2 linked regions of the Tamandua tetradactyla genome follow. The protein of the gene in region 1 interacts with the protein of each later gene in a pairwise test. Links are inferred from orthologs where the notes say so. Each region holds a gene or a part of one and is shown in the gene's direction. Other genes may lie near its edges.

Region 1 (7,446 bases):
CATTTACACTTATCATGTTCATTTCAATTTAAACAAAAAAGAAGGCTGGTTGCTGATTTTTATAAAATGTACTCTTAGAGCATAAACTGTAAGGTAAGGTAAATTTCATGTAAATCTTTTTTTCTGAAGAAACTCCCATTTTATATTTTAAATTAGAAAAATGAACAGTTTCCTCAATTTCATTTTTATTTTGCTGTATTGAGATCTATAAATAAATGTATGATTTTTTGCACAAAAAAAAGGTATATCTACATCCATAGAGTTTTAAAGTAAGGGGTAGATAACTGTTTATTCTCATGGTTTCCATGAGAAGAGATTTCCTCAACCTCCCACACTCCCACCTTTCTCTAGAAGTGACCTAAAGGGGGTTGAAGCAGGAGCTGAGCAGGCTTGGCCTAGCTCCTTGTCTTTTTTCCCTCTTTGAATCTGTTTGCAGAGGGAATGATTTCTCAGCATCTCCCAGCTACATGTAAGCTTAGCCAGTAGGTTCTGAAGGGGAGAGGTAGGCATACCTCAAGGGTTAGGAACGTGTTCAATTCAAGGGAAGGCAAGCAAATCAACTGACGATTGCTAAACCATTCCCTCTAACATGGTTTATAAAACTAATAAAGGTGACATTTTGGTCCCAGGGTTCTGACTCCTGTATCTTTCTACCGGTTCTGTATAGGTTTTGAAATTGGCAAGGAGAATTTGTATTGTCCTAAAATTTCAACAAGAAAGAAAAAATAATGAGTTTGCTTTGTTTTTGTTTTTGTTTTTTAGGTACAAAGAGTAAGTAAAGTGAACTATTTTTTCCTTTCCTTACCACTGTCAACAAGAGGAGAAATGTCCTACATACACCAAAATTCCTCAATTGTACTGTTATCATGCTGTTAACTTTTAATTTTGAAGCAATAAAATCCATAATAAGGACCCATATTATATTTAGAATCCTAAACGATGCTATTAAGATTTTTTTTCTAACATAGGAATTTTCAATCTTAATGAGTTAAAAATTTATATGAGAGGACTTCTGGGAAGATGGCCAAATAGAGTAGCTCAAGATTAGCCCTGCTTCAGGGAAAAATTAGAGAAGGGACAGGAGAGCGACTGAGGCAGCGATTCAGGAGTGAGGCTGACCTGGGAGAGCATTTTGCACCACAGAGGGCAGCCCTAGTTGCAGAGGCCGAGGAACTGAGAGGTAGAAACCTGGAGACTGGCGAGGAGACACAGAACCCATGGGAGTGCACGGACAGGAGCAGGGGACTAGGAAGTAAGCCGGGCCACATTCCTTGGGTGCATACCCTCACCAGTGCAGCCTCGTGACCGGTGACTCACCCCACACCCCACGCACCCGAACCCCGTCATACGCTCCCATTTCCCGGGCTCCAGGCACCCCCACCCAACCATCCCTCAGTGCATGTACCTGCCCCACACTTCACCCCAACTGCAGCACATTTCACCTCTCCTGGCACCCCTCCCGAGCACTACCTCCCCCTCCCTGTTCCCTGCAGGCTGTTGCCAGCGCATAAAGGCTGCCAGCACTACCCTCCATACCCAGGCTACCCCTGCCCCCCTGCCCATAGTGTCGTACAGCTTCACCCCACACCCCCTCAAGCTCTGTGCATCAGTTTAAGCACTCCTAGACCCAAGCACAGACAGAAGATAAACAAGGATATAGAGAAGTTAAATAATTTGATAAATGAATTAGACCTAACACACATATACAGGTCAGTGTACCTCAAAGTACAAGGTTATACTTTCTTTTCTAGTGCTCATGGAACATTCTCCAGGATAGATCATATTCTGGGGCATAAAACAAGTCTTAATAAATATAAAAATAATGAAATTATTCAAAGCACTTTCTCTGATCACAATGGGATGACCTGGATCTCAATAACCACCAAAGGAACGAGAACATTCACAAATACATGGAGATTAAATAACACACTCTTAAACAACCAGTGGGTCAAAGAAGAAATTGCTAAAGAAATCAGTAGCTATCTAGAGATGAATAAAAATGAAAATACAACTTATCAGAACTTATGGGATGTGGCAAAGGCCGCGCTGAGAGGGAAATTTATTGCCCTAAATGCCTTTATCATAAAAATATATTTAAGCCCTCTAGCCTCCTATATACTGGAGCAGCTAGAAGTAAAAATCTGAGAGGATCGTATCACAGCCCATGACACACTCGGGGATCTGTCCTATAACCACTTGTTGAAGAGTGCTTTGAAAACTATTGCTTTTTTATTTCTTTGCTTTGTATATATGTTATACTATATAATTTAAAAAGTTTAAAAGAAATTACCCTTCATCCCATTAAAATAATTAATTTTTAAATATTCCTGTGGTGATAATTTCTTGATATACAACACAAAAACTCAGTGCTATTCCACCTCTCCTGAACTACAACCCCTTCTAACCTTTAATAATACCCCTCCTTGTTTAAAGAATGTACTTGTATCCCAGTATCTTCATAAATTTCAATCAACTAAGTTACACAAGGTCATAACAAATCTGCTATGATCTCAAATTACCTTTATTATTTATTTTTATATAGACACAGAAAAAAGAGAACACAGCATGTCTATCCCAATTATCCTCGTTTGAAAATTAGTGGATTCTTCGACAAAGTCAGCAAACTATGGCATGTCACGTGTATTTTTGTATGGCCCAGTAAATGGTATTCATATTTTTAAAAGGCTGGGGAAAAAATCAAGACTATTTTGTAACACATGAAAATTATATGAAGTTCAGGTTTCAGGATCAATTAATAAAATTTTAATGGATACAGCCACACCCATTTCTTTAGTATTACCTAATTCTTTTTTTACACTACAAAAAGAGAGTTCAGTAGTTGCAACAGACACTACACAGGCAATGAAGACAAAAATATGTCCTATTTGGTCCTTTACAGATAAAGTTTGCCAATCCCTAATCTATGTCATACACCATGCCATTCATAATTTTATAGTTTTACCTAGGAATTTTCTCCCTTTTCCCTCTATAGTCAGTGTACAGTCTCCTTAATAAGCTATTGGTCTCCAGACAAACATTCTTCATAGTCTTGGACATGGACCCCCTCCAGGGAATCTCCTTAGTCTAACAGCATCCCCAGTCATGTATAAACAAAAGGCGAGTAAGGATTGCTTTCCGAACTTAACCATGTAACACCTTAGAAGTTACAAATGCACAACAACAACAAAACAGAATCAACCTTCTTCATCATCCTTCTCCCTCCAAAGCAAGGCTAAAGAGGCTGTTCTCCCAGCTAGTGGCTTTCAAACTACCCTAACGAAGAATTAAGTTTTGTTACCTGGAACAAGTACTACTGCTAAAGTCCCTAAGGCCAAATAATAAGAATACAAATTAATGATCATAATTTTCTCAAGTATAATTTTATCAAGTTTTTCTCCAGATCTTTGGGTACCACACATACACACACACACAAAGTGATCAAAAAGCAGAGGATCTTTAAGAAAAAAAATAGACGAACTGTATTTAGCATGTGCGACCCTAAATTTTTACACTTCACATATTTGATTCTATTTTCCGCAAGTAAATAGTTTCTGGCTCCCACGATGAGAGGCTCTACATTACAATGTTTGTATAGCATCCCAACTCAAGACTGGAACAAGCTAGATTCCTTCCTCTCCAAGAAGGGTACACCAAAATTTGCTCATGATCTCTTTCAATCAACATTCTGCTCGCCAAGCGTTGGGAGCGGGGCAAACTGCCTTCTTCTCTACCAGCAGTTTCATACTCATCCTAGCACTAACTCCTCCCCAGCCCTACCACAACTCTACCCAGCACGAGCTCCTTCACAGCCCCAGCTCCTTCCCAGCCCCAATATCACTACTCGGCACCAACTCCTCCCCAGTCTCGCCACACCTCGATCCTGCAGATTCCCCCCCCACCCCCAGGCCCATCACCTCACCCCACTGTAACAAAGTCCCGACCTGCGGAGCTTCCAGCTGCAGAAAGGGTAGAGTGTGGAGTTCCCGTACAAGCACCATCTGACCTTTCAGAGAAACCCAAGTCACAGTCCCATAAGTGGAAAGGACCGGCCTTGGCTCGCACCAATAATGGGTGCGTACGGAGAGCTTGCAGCGGTCGTGCTCCAAGCGAGGCGCAAGGGATACAAAGGTGAGCAGCAGAGACCTGAAATACCAACTCTCCGACTCTCACTCCAGCGGGAGAGGAGTATCATTTCGAAAAAGCCCGCCAAACCAGAGGCGCGAGGAACAGCTCTTGAAGTACACGGGAGCGAGAATTTAATCCCTGAATGTTAAAAGGCTAAAACTCAAGTAGTCGGAAGTGACGTGCGAGCTGCGAATTGCAGGTCCGCCACGTAATTGGCCACCGCCTCAACAAGCCACTTTCTCTTCGGACTTGCCTGAAGAAAGGGAAAGTGTGGCTGAAAGCCCACAATCCGCCCCTGTCCCGCCCCCCGACTCCCAGCGCCACCGGGGAGCCGCGGAGGCTGGCCAGGGCCCTAGCCCGCAGCGTGGGCAGGGCTGTCTCGCCGGACCAAGAGGCCGTCCAGCGCCCTGCGGGCAATGGGCTTCGGCGCTCAACCACGCGCATGCGCGGCCCTCTTTCTCCAGAGGATTCCTCGGGTCACCTGCACGCCGGCATCTCCGCCACCTGCCCCTCCAGGTCCCTTCTCGTCCTTGACTCCTCCCACTGGTTCTCACCTCCGGCCCCATTTCTTCTCCTTCTTCCGCAGGCCCCGCTAGGCCCTGCCACGGCCGCCCGCGGACACCCGGCTTTCGCTCGACACGAGCCACTCGGCGCGGCGCGGCTTCCGCTTCCGGCGAGTATTGTGTCGCGCTGCGGGGCGGGGGCGGGGGGAGGAGAAAGGAGGGAGGCAGCGCTCCGGTGGCTCCGCGCCCCGCAGTCCCGGACCCGAAGCCGGGAAGGTAGGTGCTGTCCCGCCGCCGGTCCCAGACCCCGGGGCCTTCCCCGCCGGCCGGCTCCGCACGCCGCGTCCCAGCGCCCCGCGACTGCGTCACCGGTCCCCCTCACGTAACCACTGCTGCCTCCCCCCGCCTCAGGCCGGGGCGGACGTTTTGCCGCCCCGGCGACGTCAGCGCGTCCGGCGTTGCTTGGCTACCCCGTGGTTCCCCCGTCCCGCTGCCGCTCGCCTCCCCGGGTGAAACTCCGACGCCGTCACCGCCGGTCTCGGCTGCGTCATAGCAGCGGGCATCCCACCTTCACGTCACACCTCCTCACCTGGACACGCATCCTTCCCTCCCCCGCCAACCATGACGTTTCTTGCCCACCCCCTCCAATCCCTCTGCGCCAGATCTGGCGGGAGAACGTGGAGACGGGGGTGGGACAGAGTTGTGGACCACGCTCAGGAGAGGGTCGCAAGGTGGGACCTTGGACAGTGGTAGAAACAGAACGTCGGCGTCCCACAAGTTTGCCTGTCTACTGACACACAAAGCATAGAGGAAGAGGAAGGACCAACCCAGAGGCACCCAAGGCATCATTATGCCTGTAGCTCCAAGTCCTCTTCATACTTCCCTGACCCTTTATCCATTTCTTTTTCACATAACTTCTCCGTTCCCTCTGCCAGTCTAAATCCATCCTGGCCCCTAATGTTGCATACAGTTCAACCCCAGGTGAGGAGGTCGCCTAATTTCTAGAAGATTGAGGACTAATGTCTAGTCAAGGTTGGATTCCCATAGGTAAAGAAAAATCGTCTGACTGAACTTCGGTCCTGATGCTGGGGGAAGAAATTCATGTTCAAAGAACTTAACAAGCTCCTACTCCAAATTAAACATTTTCATATGTACCATCAATACATACAAGAATAATCTTTGGTAACTCACCCATTACATGTTCACTTGCCTCTCAGCAGATATACCTGCTAAATTTCCTTCCTTTATTGGGTCTTGGGGGGTGGGGGGAGGATGGACAGGATGAGTACAGAGAAATTATTCATGAATAGGAGTGTTACCATTTTAGGGATGGAGTAGCCTTCTGCTTTATAAATACCTTAGATGCATTTTCAGTTCTTTTGAGGTTTCACTTAAGGGAGGTTTTAATTACCTCTTTACTTTTCTTTCTCCGAATTCCCAACCACTTCAGAATTTATTACTTGGAGACACTATTTCCAAGGAATTAGTTATGAATAGCTATCATGAAAGTCATTGCTGAATAATTAGAGTAGAATCATCAGCTCTTTCAATAAGTTATTGGCTTTGGCTCAATATTGTACTTTCTAGTTGCCATGAATTTATCACTTTTTAGCATTTCTAAATACCCAAATTTACACGTACAGGAATGGATGTTCTGTGAATCATTTCATTCTAAGAAGAGGGCCCAGTTCTCTAAGCTATTCTGATAAAACAAAGAATAATTTCAAACTTTCTTGTAAAGGAGATACTACCCTCACACACCCATTCCATTCATTACTCTTTGAAAGAATGAGAAGAATGGTTGAAAATCAAGATAGACCCCAGTGAAATATAGTAATAAAATTCTTCTGTAACATTAACTTCAGATTTAATTTAATATCTTAACTCTAACGACAGCTTTTATTGTCACAAACTCCTTTCTCATCTGTTAGAATAATATGTCAAACTACGGATATATTGGTCTGGAATTACTGGTTCTAAGATATAAGTAGAATGTGCCTGCATCAGGAACACACTGCTTGGGTTGGGAGAAGCCTTTGTTTTTAACAAGAGAAAGCAGAGGTAAGAGACAGAAGATTGGGGGGAGGTGGGGAGTAGTCTGTTTGGCAAATAGTAAAAAAAAAAAAAAAAAAAAGATTTAGGTTGATGGCTGGGAGTCACAAGTTTGGAAATAGAGAAACAAAATAAAAGTTGAATCTAGAGGAAGAGAAGATGGGAAATACTAAGATGGGACTAAACTTAGAGATAGGGTTTAATGTGGGGGTAAATGTCAGACCAGGGATGCAAAAAAATTAAACCTTCAACTAATATTTTTCTTTTCTCTGTGCCCCCTCCCCATTCCCAAGTTAAATAATGGCAGAGACAAGTCTGTTAGAAGCTGGGGCCTCTGCGGCCTCAACAGCTGCAGCTCTGGAGAACTTACAGGTGGAGGCAAGCTGTTCTGTGTGCCTTGAGTACCTGAAGGAGCCTGTCATCATTGAGTGTGGGCACAACTTCTGCAAAGCCTGCATCACCCGTTGGTGGGAAGACCTGGAGAGGGACTTCCCTTGTCCTGTGTGTCGAAAGACATCCCGCTACCGCAGTCTCCGGCCTAATCGACAACTAGGCAGTATGGTTGAAATCGCCAAGCAGCTCCAGGCCGTCAAGCGAAAAATCCGGGATGAGAACCTCTGTCCCCAGCACCATGAGGCCCTGAGCCTTTTCTGCTATGAGGATCAGGAGCCTGTATGTTTGATATGTGCAATTTCTCACACCCATCGTGCCCACACCGTTGTGCCACTAGATGACGCCACACAGGAGTACAAGGTGGGAAACCTGA
Region 2 (7,009 bases), on another chromosome or scaffold:
TATCTCACAGTATATGCGGGTTGGGAATTTAAGAGTGGCTTAGCTGGGTGGTCTGATTCAGGATCTTTCTTGAAGTTTCAGTCAAGAAGTTGATCAGGGGGCGGTGTGACAGTGGCTCAGGAGGCAGAATTCTTGCTTGCCAAGCCGGAGACCCAGGTTTGATTCCTGGTGCCTGTCCATGCCAAAAAAAAAAAAAAAAAAAAATTGACCAGGGTTTCAGTAATCTGAAGTCTTGGCTGGGGCTGAAGGATCTGCTTGCACATGCACTCAGTTTCTAGCCATCTTGGATTCTTCATAGGGCTACTCACAGTATACCAGCTGGCATCCCTCTGAGTAAATGATCTGAGAGAGAGAGACAGGGAGAGAGAGAGAGAGGAAGGGGAAAAGAGAAAGGGAAGGAGGGAGGGAAGGGGAGGGAGGGAGGGAGGGGGAGAGGGTGGAGGATAGATGGGAGAGAATCCATATGGAAGCTATAATGTCTTTTATAAGGTAATCTCAGAGTGATACACCATCACTTCTCAGCATTATACTAACCCTGGTAAATGTGGGAGGGGACCACAAAAGAATGTGAACACAGGAGGCAGTGATGATCGGGAACCTCCTGGAGATTTATAACCACACATGGGCAGGGGCTACAATATGGAAGTAGCATCCAGATCCCTGTGTTTGCATCATAACTTATGTGAATGGTGCCCAGTGAAGTTTTGCAGTGTGCCATGTATACAGTCATATATAGGGGCCCAGGTGGTAGTCCCAAACCAGGTGTGACAGTCAGCACTGTTTCATTCTCTATTAGGAATTCATTCAGTCATTTATGCAACAAACATTTGTTGAACACTTGCTATGTGCCTCTATCTCAGTACTGAACTAAATAATGGGGTCCCTAGGGCCTCAGCCCTAAGGAGTTTCAATTTTCCCACATCAGTTCTGCTCTTCTTAAGTATCCATGGCATTCAGAGTGACTGCAGGTGCCTATAGCTCCCTTCAAGCCAGGATGAAGGAAAACATTGTCTTCCATCTCATTTTGTAAGGGTCCTAATTTTTGGTAAATCTGAACTAATATGATGTTCCCTCCCCAGGGGAAGCAAATATTTTATCAACCACTGATCACTGGATGCCTAAAAAGAATGGAAGTTGGTATTTTACCAATGTGGTGTGTTTTATGAAATCTAGCCTTTTCCCCCAGAGAGGTCTTTTCTATCTCCCTTCTAGTCAAACTGGAAAACTAATTGTGATTCTATCTACTCACAAAGTTGGCAGCAATAAAAGTTATAAGAAAGGCCCTTCAAAAAACTTTTCCACCTGCCAATTCTAGGGGGAAAATGTAGGCTCTATATTCAAGATTAGAAATAAGAAGTGTAGGAAAGTAGAGAGTGAGTTCATCATGATGGATTGATGAATCAGAGCAGGAAAGTGAGCTATTTGTCTAGGAGACCAAGTTTGAGTCTCAGGGGAGAGGAACAGGGAAAAATCAAGTAAAAATCTATGTTTGTAACACTGGACTCATGACAAAGTGTTGTGAACTTAGACTCCAGAGTCAAACTGCTGATTTCAAATCCCAGCTCTGCCTCCCACTAGCTGTGGACAACTGACTCAATCCCTCCAAACCTCAATGTTTTTATCTGTACAATGTTCTCATCTCAATGTTTCCATCTATATGATAGGGTAAGTCTCATGGGGTGGTTGTGAACTAGTATTATAAAGTGCCTAGAACTTTACCTGTCACAACATGAGAACACAATAAATGCTGATTATTATTACTGGAGAAATCAGAGCAACATCTATTATGTCATCAATTGGAAAAGTTCAGTGTCATTAACTCAAACAGTATTTATTGAATAAACTTAACAGTGAACTCCAACCAACAAAATCCGTGTCCAAAGGAGCTTATTTGTGGGCGAGGAGAAGAGGGAAGGCTAAAATAATTAAATTAAATATTTATTATGTCAGGTGATGATCATGGAGAAAAATAAAACGGGGAGGAGGATGGGAAGTGCTGGGGGTGGGGTGGGAGGGAATAATATGTAGAGATAGGGAATAGTAAATACAGAAATCTTGAGGCTGAGAAATGTTTGATGTGTTTCATAATAACAAGGAGGCTAGTGTGGCTGGAGGGAGATGAGGGTGAAGTAATGCTGTACTGTGTGAGATCAGAGGGGTTCTTGGTAGTGGCAGATAGATCATGCAGGGCTACGTCGCTATTGTAAGAACTTTGGCCTTTGTTCTAGGATGGGGAGACACTGGAAGTTCTGAGACAGGCGAGGCATGATCTAACCTATGCTTTAAATGATCACTCAGGCTGCTGTGTGTGTGTGGAGGGGTGGGCAGGGGAAAAAGCTCAGGTAGGAGGTTGTTATGAGTTGAATCATGTCCCCCCAATAGACATGTGGAAGTCCTAACCCCCTGTAGCTGCGCATGTGAACTTATTCGGAAATATGATCTTTGCAGATATAAGCAAATTAAGATGAAGTTGTAGTGAATCAAGGTGCCCTAATCCAATAAGACTGGTGTCTTTAGAATAGAGGAGGCACTGAGAGAGGCACAGAAAAGAGAATAGAGCCTTTTGATGTTCTTGAGTGATACATAGGGACACACCACTTTTTGCTCAGTGGTGTTTATCTGAGGCTACAGGTCAATATTTGCTTTTGGTAGTTGTCAGGGATGTTATAAAGTAACAGCCAATCCTTGAAGAAGGCATTGGATAAAAGGATTTTCAGTTCTAGACATGTATGTGGCTCTTGATTTGCTCCTGTTTTTTCTTTGGTTTTACCGAACTGAATTCTTTTGGTTGCCTGAGTCACTCTGGACTCTGCTCATTGCTCCATGGAGAGCTTAGGGCACCTGGTCTGCTGGTTTCCCTCATCTAATTCTGTGCCTAAGTGGGCAATAATGTTCAAGTCCAGTAGGTCTATTCCTACGCTTGGGAGGCTATCTTCAGTCCTGTCTGGATAGAGCACGCCATCCCATACAGCTCCAGAGACTGCATATAATGTTTAGGAGCAGCAGTCAGTTTGCAAGAGGGGCTGGGGTGGGAGAAATTCTCTGGAAGCTGAGTTTGCATAGCAGACACACTTTTATTTTTCAAATTGCTATTTGGGGTGAAGATTAAAAGGGAATCTAACGTTCCCTAAAGCCACTCAAACCATTCAAGTGTGCCTGAAGTAGGAAAAGTGCAGCACCCACCCATCCCCATCCCCACTCCCAATATTCCATGGCTAAAAGGCCTGGAATTTCTGGCTACTAACCGGTGTGCATTCTGGGTCACACAAAGTCAAAAGGCAGAAGGACCTCTGTGTTGCAGTGTCATGTGAAGAGTTTGCCTTTGCCTGGGAGAACTTTCCAGGCCAATACGGAGCTTTTGAGTACGGGTTAGTGTGTCAACGGGGTCAGTACCGAAGGCTATTTCGCATATGCACTGAGGAGGGGGTGAAGTCAAGGGCTACGGTGCGTGGGGGTGGGGCGAGAACGCCTCCCTGCTGCCAACATCCCCCTCAGTCGCAAGCTTTTAGGACGACCTTCACCCCTCAGCCAGCATATCCCTTTAATGCGCGTGCCCGTCAAGGTCTCCGCGCCCCCTCCCTCAAGACGCCCCGCGCCAGCCTCGGTTTCCCTACCTCTCCCGTCCCTGCCGTTCCTTTTCCACGGACTCCCCTCGCCCATCCCAGCCCACTGCCTGCACGCGGGACTCGGCCGTCACTTAACTTTTCCGCACGGCTTCCCCGCCCTCTCGCCCGACCCGCGGGACAGCCGGCCCGTGCGCGCGCGCCCCCTCCCCCCTCGCGGCCGCGCGCCGGGTGGAGGAGGGGCGGAGAGCGGGGCCGGTAGGGCTGGCGCGCGGCGCGGCACGGACGACGTGGGGTTCGCGCTCTCGCGGTCTCTCCCGGGCGGGCGCGCGAGCTCGCGCACTGGCGGGCGCGCGCGCGGACGGCCGGGCGGCGGCAGCGGCTCGCTGAGGTGGTGGCTTCACTTTCCAGGACTCAGGGGCGGCCACAGCGGCAGCCGCGGGCAGTAGCCTCGGAAGCCAGAGCTGGGGCGGCCGGGGGTGGCGGCCGCGGCACTGAGGGTGAGTCCAGGCGGGTGCGAGCGTCGCGGAGGCAGGCGTGGCCGGGCGTCGGGTGCCTGGGTCCAGGTTTCGGTGACTAGACGGCCCACAAGGGACAGCTGGTCCCTGGGGCCTCACCTCCCTCTGGCGCCGCCATCCCCTCGTGCATCCCGGCCTCCCTCTCTCCCCGAGCTTGGGTTTGAGCCCGCGACCTGAGCGGATGCCCCTCCCTGAGGTATCGGTCCGGGCTGGCGTCCCTTCCCCCATGCCCCCCACCCTCCCACTCCGGCCACCCTTCCACCTCGCAGGTCCCTGTGTACACCTCCCGCGCCCTGATTCCCCTCTCTCTGCTCTCTGGCGTGGCCCATTCCTTGTGTCCCCTCCCGCGAGCCTACTGCCCCCGTTTCTCGCCCTAGTCACCCCTCCCCCTCCTCCCCTTGCCCTCCTCCCTTTCTGCCCCTTCCCTTCCTTGCACTTCTTCCACCCACCTCGGTTCTCAGTTCCCCATCTTTCGACGCCCTCCCAGCCCCTGCCCTCTTCTAGCCGCATCCTGGAACTAAGTCTTTGCAAAAGTACGGGATAAATGTCACGGCGGAAAGTGCCAGGCTTGATCTTTTGCTATTTTCCCTAATTGCATAATTGCTGCACATGGTGTCTTTCCAGGCGAATGCCGGGTCTGGCTCTCGCGCCGCCGCCACCCCCGCCGCCCCCTATGGCCCACCGGGAGAAGACCTTGTGGGTTGTGTTTCTCTGTGCCCTGGTGTGGGGTGTGTGTTATATTGGTCTTTTGTGATGCCTCGATCTTGTCACAGTTTTGGAGCAGAAGCCCATTTTTCTCTGGTTTCTTCTCTGCAGCCCACACTGGCCTGGTTTGAAACTGGATTCCCTCTGTCCCCCTCCTCCCTCTTCCCTTGCTCCCACTCCTCTCCCTCTCTTTCTCTCATAATGTTTTGATCCTCTTGCCCTTTACCATTTCTAATGAAGATAAAGTGTAGCTTCTTGTGCCCCCCCCCCCCCCCCACTACCAACCAGATGTCCAATCCATCTTCCCTTAAGGAAATTAAGGTCGCTTTAGAAAGACATCATCCTAGGCTCGGTGGCTGCTAGACTAACTTGCATGTGTTCAAGATCCATCGTTATGTATTGTATATTCTGTAGAGTTCACTCATTTTTATTAAAAAGCGCTTCAGAGAAAAGATTTTAAGCTCTCTTAGTTTTTATCCTTGACTTTTTAAAAAGTGTGTTTCTGAATCTGATAATTCATTCCGGACCTTGGCAATCTAAATATTTGTTTTTGCTCCGATTGGATGCTCCTTGGCTCTTTGGAGTTTTATATGTGGATTGGTGCTAATGATGGAATATTTTCTTATGTCATACCCCATTTTCTCTCCCCTAGGACACAGCACCCCTTTTCTCCCATCTAATGATATCTTTTCTCATTTTTAAAAAATCGGTGATACCATTCTTTATTTCCTCCATAAATGTCTTTAGAGTTAAGTTAAATGCTGGGTATTGCTAGAAGATGTGTACGTAATATAAATTACTTTACATTTTAGGAAAATTTAGAAACGTGAGTAGGAAGACAGCAAGATATCAAATGACAGAATTCAGTATTTTCCTGTTATAAAAACTGAAATAGGTAGTTGCTTTTTCAGTTTAATGCCTTGAGATAAGGTTTGTCTGGCAGTAATCAGGACTCATGGAGTGATTAGAATCCCTTTTATGTCATCAGTAATATTTATAGCCAAATCATTTCTTTTTTTTTATGGAACATGTGCGCTTCATTGGTTATTATATTGGTTATTTCCAGGACTGTAATTACAGCATAAAGTACATAGTTAGTACAAGCTTAGACAATTAGTATGCATGTGAAGGAATAACATGGAAACTCTTAATATAACACATTTTAGGAAAGTCTACCTTATTTTGTTTTTGTTTAGGAAAACCAAGTTTTTGTGGTCCAAAATAAAAGTATTAGTTTAAATAACTTAATATCTTTGAAAAGCAGCTCTGTGTTTATAACCCTGGGATTTAAGTTTATATTTTCCTTAGATTAGATAATTGGAATAGATTAGCGATTTAGGAATTAAATTTAGTAAAAGATAATTTAAAAATGTTAATTTAGCAATTAATGTTTAAAGAGTTTTAGTTTGGGATTTTTATTCATTTCTACTTTAGAGTGACAACACTGACCTTAACAACTCTTTAAAATCACTGCTTTTCTTCATAAAAATTAGTTGCACATGAGTGGTACTATAAATTTTTTTCCAAACTTTTTCTGTAATCAGGCATTCATAAACAAAGACGGCAGAAATTTCACTGATTCTTGTGAAATTCATTTGTAAACGTTTCTGTAGTGGTTATCTGTTTTGTCACATATTTGTGATTTGGTTGGTTAAGATTTGGATAAAATGAGTATGTTGGGTTAAAAGTAGAAATAAAATTTTCTTCTTTATTATGAAACTATAGAAATTATGCATCTCTTTGGGCATTTTTTTTCCCCTAAGCTTTTTATTTTGAAATAATTTCAGATTTAACAGGATAATTGCAAAAATAATACACCAAACAGGGAGAGAACTCCACATGCCCTCCCCTGCTCCATACCCGTATCCACCAATTTTAACATTTTGCTGTATTTGTTGTATCACTCTCTATATTTGTCCTTCTGTCTATCAGTCTTTCTACCAGTTATCTAAACATGTGAGAGTATCATGCTTCTTGAATCTGTAATGCTTCCATGTACATTTCCTAAGAACAAGGGTATTCATTGTGTAACCACCTAAAGTACAGTTACCAAGTTGAAGAACTTTAACATTGATATAAAGCTTTCAGTGTAAGTTCCAATTTTTTCATATGTCCTAATATCATTTTCTTCTCCATTATTAGATCTAGTCCAGGGTCTTGTATTGCATTTAATTGTTGTCTCTTTAGTTATTCTTTTTTTTTTTTCCAAGATTGTGGGAACAT

What was found. The genes of interacting proteins can lie anywhere in the genome.
Region 2: the proteins of TRIM39 (region 1) and UBE2E2 interact in binary tests that used the Homo sapiens proteins (3 or more experiments, as listed by UniProt). The link is inferred for Tamandua tetradactyla from reciprocal best matches to the Homo sapiens genes TRIM39 and UBE2E2.

What each region holds. Positions count from the first base shown.
Region 1 is NC_135331.1:85,289,526-85,296,971, forward strand, and holds the start of TRIM39 (E3 ubiquitin-protein ligase TRIM39), read left to right. Parts: upstream 1-4,336; 5' UTR 4,337-4,904; exon of another isoform or gene 4,905-5,810; intron 5,811-6,559; 5' UTR 6,560-6,689; intron 6,690-6,973; 5' UTR 6,974-6,980; coding exon 6,981-7,433; intron 7,434-7,446.
Region 2 is NC_135341.1:65,248,672-65,255,680, reverse strand, and holds the start of UBE2E2 (ubiquitin-conjugating enzyme E2 E2), read left to right. Parts: upstream 1-3,924; 5' UTR 3,925-4,063; intron 4,064-7,009.